Linked DNA regions of Nothobranchius furzeri. The protein of the gene in region 2 binds, or shares a complex with, the protein of the main gene of each other region. Links are inferred from orthologs where the notes say so. Each region holds a gene or a part of one and is shown on either strand. Other genes may lie near its edges. The genes, in order: thoc7, thoc6 and chtopa.

Region 1 (3,226 bases), on a different chromosome or scaffold from region 2:
ACCCACGTTTCCTCTTCGGGCTGTGCCCGGCCGGGCTCAGTGGGTGAAAGCCCAGCCACCAGGCACTCACCAATGTGCCCTACCTCCAGGCCTGGCTCCAGAGGGGGACCCCGGTGACCCACGTCCGGGTGAGGCAACACGTTTTCCATTTATATAATTCATCATACGAGGTCTTCGGGCTGCTCTTTGTCTGATCCCTCACCTAGGACCTGTTTGCCGTGGGTGACCCTACCAGAGGCAGAAAGCCTCAGACAACTTAGCTCCTAGGATCATTGAGGCACTCAAACCCCTCCACCACGCTAAGGTGGCAGCCCAGGGAGAGGCTATTTTCTAATCCTAATCTAATCCTATTTGATATGTGCCATATATTTCACATATATGTCTGTGAATTTTAAAGACACGTTTTGATGTCAAGAAAGTGCTTATTTTTGAACAGCTGCAAAAGTTTAGGGTTTTGTGTTAAAAGATGTGTACAATGCCTGTCCAGTATGGGAAGCTGGTGACTGGATGCTGAACCATCTTGCTAGACCAGCATTGTATGCTGATCTACCACTAAACCAGCACCAAACACAACATATGCTGTTTTTATGAGCAGGGCTTTGCTCATACATAATTGAGGCGTTTTTTTACACAGCAAAAAGTGATTACAGCATTCATTTTGCCTTTGAAAAATGTATTCTACCGTAATTCAATTTCATCACTTGATTGTGTAATTTGTAATTGATTGTGTGATAAAAAAACCTAGTGGTATTACTAAATTGCATTTAAACTAAATCTCTGTGTCACATAATCACTGTAATCACTGTATACTTAAAATCCACATTATTTAACGAAGATGAAGCGAAAAGATCACAACATGCAGTAACGTCCTCTTACCAGATAAGGCAGTAACGAGCTCAGCTGTGTCTGAGTTGCCTAAAGACAAAAGATCAATCAGTACCAGTAGAACGGAAGTAGTAGAAGAAGAAAAACAGCAACATGGGAGCTGTAACTGATGGTTTGTGGCTTTATCATTAACTAATTTCAGCACTTAAGTTACTCTTTACTTTTGTTTTCGTCTAAGTTTAAAACATTGTAAATTGCGCCTTATTATCTGGAAAAATACCCAGAAATGCTACCTGTAATAGCGACGTTAGCTAGCACACTTAGCATAGATGCATTATGTTTTCAACGCTCTTCAGCTGCTTTATTGCATGTTCCACAGATGAGGTGATTCGAAAACGTCTTCTCATTGACGGTGACGGAGCTGGAGATGACCGCCGAATCAATCTGCTGCTGAAGAGCTTCACCAAGTGGTGCAACTCACCTTCTGGGACCCTAGAAGAAGGGTACGAGCTAGCAATATATCTGTCTCCAGTTTTTGCTTGTAACATCTTGAATGCCGAGTACACAACTGCAGTGAAATGCTGAACATTGGGCTCTTTGTGTGTAGATTCACTCAGTACCAGAGGATGGTGGCTACTCTGGCTCAGTGTGAGTTTTCTATGGGAAAGACGTTGATGGTTTATGACATGAATCTTCGTGAAATGGAGAATTATGAGAAGATCTACGCAAACATAGGTAAGATCGGCTTTGTTTTCAATGTCACAGAATTTTTTGTTAATTCTTTTAGTCATACATGCCAAATGGCCTGTATTTTATAGAGCTTTCTAGTCCTGGAACCCCCCACGGCGTTTTACAACACAACACAATCAGACATTTACACACACATTCACACACTGGTGGTGATGAGCTACATCGTAGCTACAACTGAGCGGGGCTCGAACCTGCACCCTTCTGATTATGGGGCGAGCACTTAACTCCTGTGCCACCATCGCCCAATTAACACTAATCAAACTTTTTTCTTTCGCACCTCGCAGAACAAAACATCACATCTGCACATGAGAAGATCACAGAATGCAAAAAAGAAATTCTGCGTGCCAAGAGAATACGAAAAAATCGCCAGGGTAAGGACATTTTAACATCTGTTGTATTTACAGAAAAATTACCAGATGTGGTATCAAATGTGCGTTGTCAAAAGGATGTAAACTTTTTTTTAAGTATCTGTTCTCTGTCTCTCCAAAGAATATGATGCTTTAGCAAAGGTAATCCAGCAACACCCAGACAGACATGAAACACTCCAGTAAGTCAGCCTATCGATAAAACATGTCAAGCTCCCCTTCATGTTCAATAAAGTGCTCATTTTTGTTTTACCTTCCAGGCAGTTGGAGGCACTCGATAAAGAACTCCAGCAACTGTCTCACATCAAAGAGAACGTAGATGCAAAGGTAAACTCAAACACAGCGGCCTAATGTTGTTAAAGTATCAGATTTAGTTGTATTTTTACTGACTTTTTATGCCATGTTTGCATTCTCTTTAGTTGGAGTTGAGGAAGAAGCAGTTTCATGTTCTTCTTACTACCATTCAGGAGCTGCAGCAGACACTAGAAAGTAAGTAGCCACTTGGTTATACAGACAAACTGTTGTCAGAGCTGCCCTCATCGTCTATCCTGTCTTTCCTAGATGATGAAAAGTCAGATAGTGACGACCACAGTCAGGAGAGTCCCATGGAGAATGGGGATTGAACACATAAAGAGCCCAACTGAAGGAGTCACAGCTTTTAATTGAAATTTAGTTTGTCTAAGAATCCTTTTTTGTATGTATTTTTGAATAAAGCTGTCATCTTGGAGTATATCTTTAATTCTTATATTCTCTTTTCATTAAAATAATCTCAGTAAAAATGTAACCAAAGCTTCCAGGCTTTTAAGAAAATCAACTGAAACTCTGATCAGAAAAGAAATTTAATACGCGTCAGTCAAGGACAGAACAGTTGTTGAACATTCATATGTGCTGTATTTTCTCTGGAAGTTTCTGCACTATAAGTGAGAGTTTGAATACTTGTAAAATCTAAGTGTCATTAAACCCAATTATCATTTTTTTCATACTAAATTATCATTTTTTCATACCAAACTATCAAATAGTTTCTGATTTAAAGTTCACAAAATTACATTCTTCTGAGAATAAGACGTCTGTAACAAGAATTATGGTTTTGCTCATTTATTTAAAAATGAATGCCAAAATTTACTGATGTAGTAAATAAACCACAATGAAAGAAAGCCTCTGACTTCCTATGTGAATGATCACTATGTACTTTGTTGCAAACCCCTGTAAATTGTTTTAACCGAACCATAAAGTCTAGAACAACATCATGCATGCTACAACAGAAAAGGGATTTAAGGTCTAGAACT
Region 2 (3,752 bases):
GTCTTAAAGGAATAGTCCATTGTGGCATTAACGGAGGGGTGCCAGCAGTCAGGGCTAGGGGGCCCCCCATCATAAGGGGGCCCCAGGCGGCCGCCGACCTATGCCTAATGGTAAAACCGCCACAGGCTGTGGTGTTTCGTTTACCTGTGTCCAATAAGCATTTAAAGCTCCTGTCAGACTTTACAGTTTACTTATTTTTAAGTTTTAAATGTTGCACTGCAGCTTAATGTTTTTTTTTTTTCCATAAAATGAATTTTTAATCACTCACTCATTCTCAGCAAGACTTTTTATGATGTTAAACTATTAATTTTAATACTAAAACTTAATTTTTCAACAGAAAAAGGCACACATTCCACATTGTGAAATGCTAAAACTTCAAATTAAAAGCCTCCTCAGCCTATTAAGACATTTTATTCTTAGACTTCTGGTGTGTTCAGCCGTGTTTTAATGTGAAAAGCATGAATGCCATCCTTCTACTTTTTACTTTAATTTTTAGGTGGTTTCAGATTAAATGAGACAGTTTCTAACAAATCCAAACTAGTGTTAGGTGTGTTTTTGATTTGAGGTCCTTTAATCTTCATCTGATTTGAGTTTTTGTCTCTTTTGCTGCAGCTCATGAAGGTGCAGTTTTCAGTCTTCTGTCCACAGACTGTGTCCTGCTGAGTGCTGGAAATGGAGAGATCAGTGCCTGGAGCTGGACTGAACTCATCAAGAAGGTAACGCTACATCTGGTAGATAACCTGTACAGCAGCACAGCTTCACTTGTGAAATGTTGTGAACTTGATGTCCTCAGAATGTGAAATGTCTTTGGACGAAGAGGCCCAACTATAGGTGAGGACATCTCTCCTGCCTCCCGTCCAACCTGAAGGTCACGTACTAATGCCTCTTCTGGTCTTTTGGCAGATCAAGTCTGGAGATCCCAGAGATTAACTCCATGGTCATCAACACCCAAGTGAGTGAGTGCGCGCGCGCACACACACACACACACACACACACACCTGCTCAACAAAACAGAGTTTAAGAACTGACTGAAGAGGATCTGATATGGAAACATCTGGCCTGTGTGTGTTTCAGGACAACAGTCTGGTGATTGGAGCTGGAGACAACAACGTCCACATCCTGGACCTGGAACATGGAGACTTTAAGGTGCATCAGCTTCTCTGCTTATTGTCTTTGACTAATGAAACAGCATCAATGCTAAAGGAAACTCCCGACGTCACAGAAATCATTTTACTTTGCCTAAACTAACTGTTGGCGCTATTTGGGTTACAGTGATCCCTCGTTTATCGCGGTAGATGCGTTCCAGACCTGGCCACGATAGGTGAAAATCTGCGAAGTAGGGACACCATATTTACAGTACAGTGTCAGAACCCAAGTTCCCAGGCCAGCCTCTTCCAGCTAGCCGGCCTCCACTATGGACCAAAACTCCCAGCATGCCCCTCGCGGGGATTCCCTCCACGTCGCATCTACGTCACAAACCGCGGCTATAATCGGAAGTCGCCTTTCCAGCTCACCACTCAGTCATCGTTTCTTCATATTCATGATCAGAGTTTCCAACCTACTGATCCATCCCACGAACTATCAGCTCATAGTAAGTTATCTTACTTACTTCTGGAAAGCCCGGCATTTCCTTGTCACTTCGTTGATGCTCGAACGCTCGGGGGTTTCCTAGATTAATCGTGAGCCGGCGTTTCACCGACGCTATCTCTTCCGTGTCTGTGAAACCACGCTCCCTACAAGCTCAACTCCCGAATCCAGCCGACCAGTCTGATATACAGTACTATATTGAATTATCGTATGATCACATTCTCTTTTTGTGGGTAAAACTCAAGAAAAAAAATTTTTTTTACTTGTTTTTTTTATAGTTTTATTACAAAAAGTGCATTTTATGATGAAAAAAAACAGGAATTTCTTGATATTTCGCATAGAAAAATACCGCGAATCGGCGAATTTCCCTTGAATAAGTCTCCAAAGAAAAAATCCGCGAAGTCGTGAATCCGCAATAAACGAACCGCAAAGTAGCGAGGGATCACTGTACTTACAGTTGTTGGGTTATTTATTGGGTTTAGTTGTTGGTTAATGATGATTTAATTTATTTATTTTAGTTTTGCCTGTGAGAATCAGCCAGGAACAATAAATATGGGGACTGGTGTTAGACCAGCATGCACTGGGGTAGGCCTATAGTTTTTTTTACCAGAGCAGGAGAAGCGGCAGGAAATGAAGATGTGCATCATACTTGACAAGTTGGATGAATAAACACCAAAAATATTCATCAGTTAAGATTGTTTGGACATTGGACTTTTTTTTGCCTGCGTACAAGATATCACTTGAGTGCAGCAGGGACCCAAGGATTTAAAACCCTCAGGAAAATCGCCACTAAACTAACCTCACACAAACATGTCTGGCCTATGTGTGCAGACAGCCCTTCAGGGTCACACAGACTATGTGCACTGTGTGTGTGTGCGTGAGCGGGAGTCCGAGCTTCTGTCCGGCAGCGAGGATGGATCTGTGAGGATGTGGGGTGAGTTACAGCAGCTGGGTAGGCCTTCCTCAGCAGGTGATGGTGATGATGTTGTTGTTGTTCAGACACCAGGACGGGCCAGTGCGTTCACTGCATTGAAGTCTACAAGTACGAGGTGAGAGCTACATGCCAGTCAGCAAGGATCACCACATTGTGAGAATATGCTGAGTGTGTGTGTGTGTGTGTGTGTGTGTGTGTGTGTGTTTCAGAGCTGCGTACGGCCTCAGTACGGTAAATGGATCAGCTGTGTGACCACAGACTCTGACTGGATGGTAAGAAAACAGCAGCTTCAGCTGATCAGGACTGTGTGGTACCGCGCATTAACAGCTGCAGGTCTCACCTGGGAGGACAGTTTTACACACATGAGTTGTTTTTGTGTCCCTGCAGGTGTGTGGAGGAGGTCCGTCAATGTCTCTGTGGCACCTCCGCTCTCTGTCCCCAACATCCGTGTTTCCCCTGAGCGGCTGCCAGCGCCAGGCAGCTTTCCACCAGGACATGGTGAGACACAATGGCCCACTTCACTCAGAGTGGAGGACAAACAACAATATGTCTGTGTCTGTTGTGTAGATCCTGGCAGTGGGGCAGGGTGCATTTGTGTCTCATTGTCTTCTGGGTGGAGATGTCAAAGCTCAGATCCCATGCACACCCTCAAGTCTCAACACTCTGCAGCTGAACAACAGCTCAGAGCACCGGGTGAGTCCCTGAACGTAGCACAGCAGGTTCCTAACCGGTGTGAGGAGCACCTGGTGAAGGTGTTTGTGTTTCAGGTGCTGACGGTGGGAGGTAGCAGCAGCCACATTGACGTGTTCACCAACCTGTCCTACAGAACCTTCTCACTCAGCTTCTGAACTTTCCTAATAAAATGTTTTTTACAAACAGTTTTTGTCATTTAAATGATCAGAACCAGGATCTAATCTGGCTCAACAACGTGGTTCTATAAAAAACGTATAATCCTCTTCTCTCAATCCAGCAGACAAAAATCTCTCCATCACAGGAGGAAACTGTAGCTTCAGCTCTTTAGAGGACTGCGTTTCTCTCAGGGCTGTCCCTCACAACTCCTGCTGGTGAAGATACTTGAGCTTTTCTTTTCTCAACTGGTACTTTTTGTTTTGAGGTCAAAAACTTTCGGACATCTTTCTCAAGCTGATCTACATTTTGGAGTGAATGATTTATAACAGGTTTTTAATTAGAGCCTTAAAGATACAAACTAGCGTCTCCTCTTTCCATAAAA
Region 3 (3,752 bases), on a different chromosome or scaffold from region 2:
GCGTCCTGACCAATCACAGGCTTGCGTAATCCGTCTCGTTCGACGGATGTTTAAAAAAGTGGGCTCGACTCCGTACGGACTTGCGTGCCTGCCGGATCCCTACGCAAGGACGGATAATGGCGTTGCGTGTCTCCGCACTGACGCAGACGGAGAAGCATAAATCAGGCTTAAAGCTGTGTTCAGTAGGGAAAAGGGCACAAGTTAGCAAAGGTCTGATGGGTTCTCAAGTCAGAAAGATTCTGTTCTGGTTTTATCAGTGAATTATCATTGAAACCAAACCCAAGCCTGACAGAAGATGCATTTGCTGTTTGGGAAGTACAGTCCTGATCAAAAGTTTAAGACCATTTGAAAATGGCCAAACGTCGTGTTTGTTTGGTTGGTCATTAACAAGGTCCCAAGTAGAGCTTCAATGTGCAACAAAAAAGAAATGGGAGTGAGACAACGATCAAATCGAAACGAGCTGCTTTATAGCTGATAAAAGGTTTAAAGAACAAGTTCACTGAGAAACCATTTTTATGTGTTATTTTTTTAAATGATTGGTCACTCTGAGTTTCACATGCAGGCTGAATATGTGAATAGTCTTCTACCCCTTTTTCCTGCATTAGCCGATAGAAAACAGACGAGGAAATTCTCAGGTTAGCAAAGCCAGTCAGATCTACCTCACAGTAAGTTAACATTCATGGACTCGGCCATCTTGGCTCAAGATGGGGAAGGCAGTTGTTGGTTTAGCATTCAGGAGAGACTAGAGCTTGCCTTGGCTAATAGAAGCTAACTGTTAGCATTAGCTGCTACTCTATACAGTAGAACTCATTCATTTATGGAGGTAAAACATCAATGATGCAAATCAAACAAGGTTAGTGGTAGAGTTGTGTTGCTGTTAGCCAATCAGGGGTGAGATGTCCAAATAGTCTTGTTGTACCCTTAAGCCGGGCGGACACTGTGCGACTTTTTCACTCGTAGCACTCAGCTTCAGCTCAAACTGTACGACTTCCTCACAGAGCAGATCTCACGAGTCGTGCGCTCACACTGCACGACCCAGTTCTCGGATGCGATCTGACTGCTCACGCTGTACGTCTGGTAGCAACACGTCGGCCCTAAAAATGTGCTAAAAATAGCAGTTTTTACACAACACGTCAGACTTTTTTGTCTTGTTTTGCCTGTTGTCCTTCGGGAGTGCTGCAGGGGGACACACAGGGATTTATGGGGGTTGGATGAGGAAAACAAAATAAAGAAAGTAAATCTGTGTTTTGTGATCAGTTTAATTTGACATGAACACGACAAACACGCTTTCTTGACAACCTTTGTGAGTAAAAAAAGTGTAGAAAATAAAAACGAACAACGTGTGTTATTAGGGAAATAGCGGGCGAGCGGTGTTGATGCATGCATGTGCCGTGAGCGGTTCTGGTACTTTTTGGGTCGCAGCTGCTCGCAGCGCCGCTTCAACAGTGCGATACCCTCACGAGGGACGAGCAAAATATTAAACACGCCAGAAGTCTGTGCGAGCTCACGATTGCTGATCGGTAGCTGGTCACGTGGTGTTAATCGCCTCTCGTAGCCCCCTGTACACGACGCTCAGCGCAAAACTCGCCCCGATCTCGTGGATTCTCGCACGAGTGGAAAATCGGCTCAAAAAAGTGAAAAAGTCGCACAGTGTACACCCGGCTTAACCTGAGCTTTCCACTGGATGCATAAGTGACGCGGTTCCTCACGAGCTCAGCGGTGCATATCGTCTCACCGGGAGATTTTCTGACATGAAGCGGCAGTGAATGTGTCACAGCTGGACCCACAACGTTACAAAATCACAGGAAAACGCTAGATCAAGCATGATTTCAGCGGTTCACGTGATAACAAGCATGGAGAAAGATGGTAACGGTATCCTAGCAGGTCTGTGGTGTACTTACTGTTTACCTCAGTCACAGAGGTTTTACAGGTAAATATAATAGAAGCTAAGTGCTACGTACTACGCTTTGTGGACATTTTGTGACGCTCGCGCGTCTGATGGAAAGCTGGGATAACAAGCTGGACCTACTCTTGCTTCGCTTTATTTGTGTTCCTGATTTGTTGCTGTGACCGATCCTTCTGAACCACCAGAGCCTAAAGCAACGTCTGGGGAAAGGCAACATCCAGGCCCGGCTGGGCCGGCCCATTGGGCCTCTGATGCGGGGTGGACCTCCTGGAGGAAGAGGAGGCATGCGGGGGATGACCAGAGGAGGCCTCAGAGGGGGTTTGAGAGGAGGGATCATTCGTGGGGGTCTGTCTTCTCTGAGGGGTAGGTGTCCGTCAGCGTGGAGATGGTAGGGGTGTTTCCTCTCAGCTGAGCAATCACATTGTGTTAAACAGCCAGGCGAATGCCTACAGGTGGACCTATGAGAGGTCGGGGGGGCATCGGACGCTTCCCCATGCGTAGAGGAGGTCGGCATCGTGGAGGAGTGGCAGGAAGAGGAGGAGTTCTGTCTCGAGGAGGAGGTCGAGGTGGAATGCCCAGAGGCCGGGGTAGAGTTTGTATTTATTAGTACAATCGTTTGATGACTCGTGTCTTTTTTTTTTTCACTGTCTCACTGATGATGTTCTGTCTTCAGGCCGTGGTGGACTTCGTGGACGTGGGGGATTTGCTGGTCGTGGGGGCCGCGGCCGTGGGCGGGGCAGAGGACTTGGCCGGCCCACCGTTACAAGGGAACAACTGGACAATCAGTTGGATGCGTACATGTCAAAGACCAAGGGACACTTGGATGCAGAACTGGATGCCTACATGGCCCAGGCAGATCCCGACAGCATGGAGTGACGGCCCAGCGAGACCAGAGCTGAAGACTGGGGCGTAGCGTCAAGTGGTGTTGCTGCACCCTGTTGTTTAGCCGTGCATCCACCTGCTGCTGAAGAGCCAATCAGCTGATGAATAAACTCAAGGGGACTTTGACCCTGATGTCCACGGACTTCCTGTATGAAGTTTTAGTCAAACAGGTGTTTGGTGTAAACTGTTTAGTTTTTCTTAGTTTTTCCTCAAACCTCCAGAGTTTCTTTGGCTCATCTTAAACTTGCAGTGGAAACGTTTTTTAAAATGATAATTTTACAAGAATTTTAAGACGAGTCATTTTCTCTTATATTTGACAGGGAAAGAAGTGCTCAGGCTTTGGGTTGTTTGTATTCCGTGAAGCTGACAAGATGTTTGTTTTAAAATTATTTCCCAAGTTGTGTTAAGGAAATAAAATGATGAATGAGATATTTTCTGATTCATGTCAAACATTTAAGGCCTGTAGGTGTTCTGGAGCATGTAGAAAAGCAGATGTCCTGGTGTGATCTTAGCTTTTGTTCTGCGATTGGTGCCCACAGGGACATGGTTTCCATGGCTGTGTCTCACTGGGAAAACGTCACCAGTTAGAAGGTTGGACGTTCAAACCTAAGACCTACAAACTTCTCTATACTACATCCTGTGAACCATGTGTGTGTGCGCACATACCTAAAGGATTATTAGGAACACCTGTTTAACTTAATGCAATTATCTAATCAACCAATCCCATGGCAGTTGCTTCAGTGCATTTAGGGGTGTGGTCCTGGTCAAGATAATCTCCTGAACTCTTAACTGAAGGTCAGAATAGGAAAGAAAAGTGGTTTAAGCAATTCTGAGCGTGGCATGGTTTTTGGTGCCAGACGGGTCGGTCTGAGTATTTCACAATCTGCTCAGTTACTGGGATTTTCACCCACAACCATTTCTAGGGTTTACAAAGAATGGTGTGAAAAGGGAAAAACATCCAGTA

Evidence for each region.
Region 1: the proteins of thoc6 (region 2) and thoc7 are in contact, whole or in part, in a cryo-EM structure (PDB 7APK), measured with the Homo sapiens proteins. The link is inferred for Nothobranchius furzeri from reciprocal best matches to the Homo sapiens genes THOC6 and THOC7. Residues at the interface, in NP_001334633.1 of Homo sapiens: Asp229, Trp232, His245, Thr252, Gln268, Asp269, Gln284, Leu285, Ser286; in NP_079351.2 of Homo sapiens: Lys110, Arg113, Lys114, Gln117, Glu118, Ala121, Leu122, Val125.
Region 3: thoc6 (region 2) and chtopa share a complex: the UniProt entries of both Homo sapiens proteins name them as parts of the transcription/export (TREX) complex. The link is inferred for Nothobranchius furzeri from reciprocal best matches to the Homo sapiens genes THOC6 and CHTOP.

What each region holds. Positions count from the first base shown.
Region 1 is NC_091743.1:56,272,688-56,275,913, reverse strand, and holds thoc7 (THO complex subunit 7 homolog), read left to right. Parts: upstream 1-891; 5' UTR 892-978; coding exon 979-997; intron 998-1,204; coding exon 1,205-1,328; intron 1,329-1,432; coding exon 1,433-1,560; exon of another isoform or gene 1,561-1,859; coding exon 1,860-1,946; exon of another isoform or gene 1,947-2,064; coding exon 2,065-2,122; exon of another isoform or gene 2,123-2,200; coding exon 2,201-2,267; exon of another isoform or gene 2,268-2,359; coding exon 2,360-2,429; exon of another isoform or gene 2,430-2,501; coding exon 2,502-2,563; 3' UTR 2,564-2,667; downstream 2,668-3,226. UniProt on the Homo sapiens protein: Component of the THO subcomplex of the TREX complex which is thought to couple mRNA transcription, processing and nuclear export, and which specifically associates with spliced mRNA and not with unspliced pre-mRNA.
Region 2 is NC_091745.1:30,130,943-30,134,694, reverse strand, and holds the end of thoc6 (THO complex subunit 6 homolog), read left to right. Parts: intron 1-612; coding exon 613-716; intron 717-793; coding exon 794-831; intron 832-903; coding exon 904-952; intron 953-1,074; coding exon 1,075-1,146; intron 1,147-2,418; coding exon 2,419-2,521; intron 2,522-2,586; coding exon 2,587-2,636; intron 2,637-2,730; coding exon 2,731-2,793; intron 2,794-2,908; coding exon 2,909-3,019; intron 3,020-3,088; coding exon 3,089-3,214; intron 3,215-3,288; coding exon 3,289-3,369; 3' UTR 3,370-3,399; downstream 3,400-3,752. UniProt on the Homo sapiens protein: Component of the THO subcomplex of the TREX complex which is thought to couple mRNA transcription, processing and nuclear export, and which specifically associates with spliced mRNA and not with unspliced pre-mRNA.
Region 3 is NC_091751.1:23,238,891-23,242,642, reverse strand, and holds the end of chtopa (chromatin target of PRMT1a), read left to right. Parts: intron 1-2,091; coding exon 2,092-2,269; intron 2,270-2,340; coding exon 2,341-2,493; intron 2,494-2,579; coding exon 2,580-2,782; 3' UTR 2,783-3,217; downstream 3,218-3,752. UniProt on the Homo sapiens protein: Plays an important role in the ligand-dependent activation of estrogen receptor target genes. May play a role in the silencing of fetal globin genes.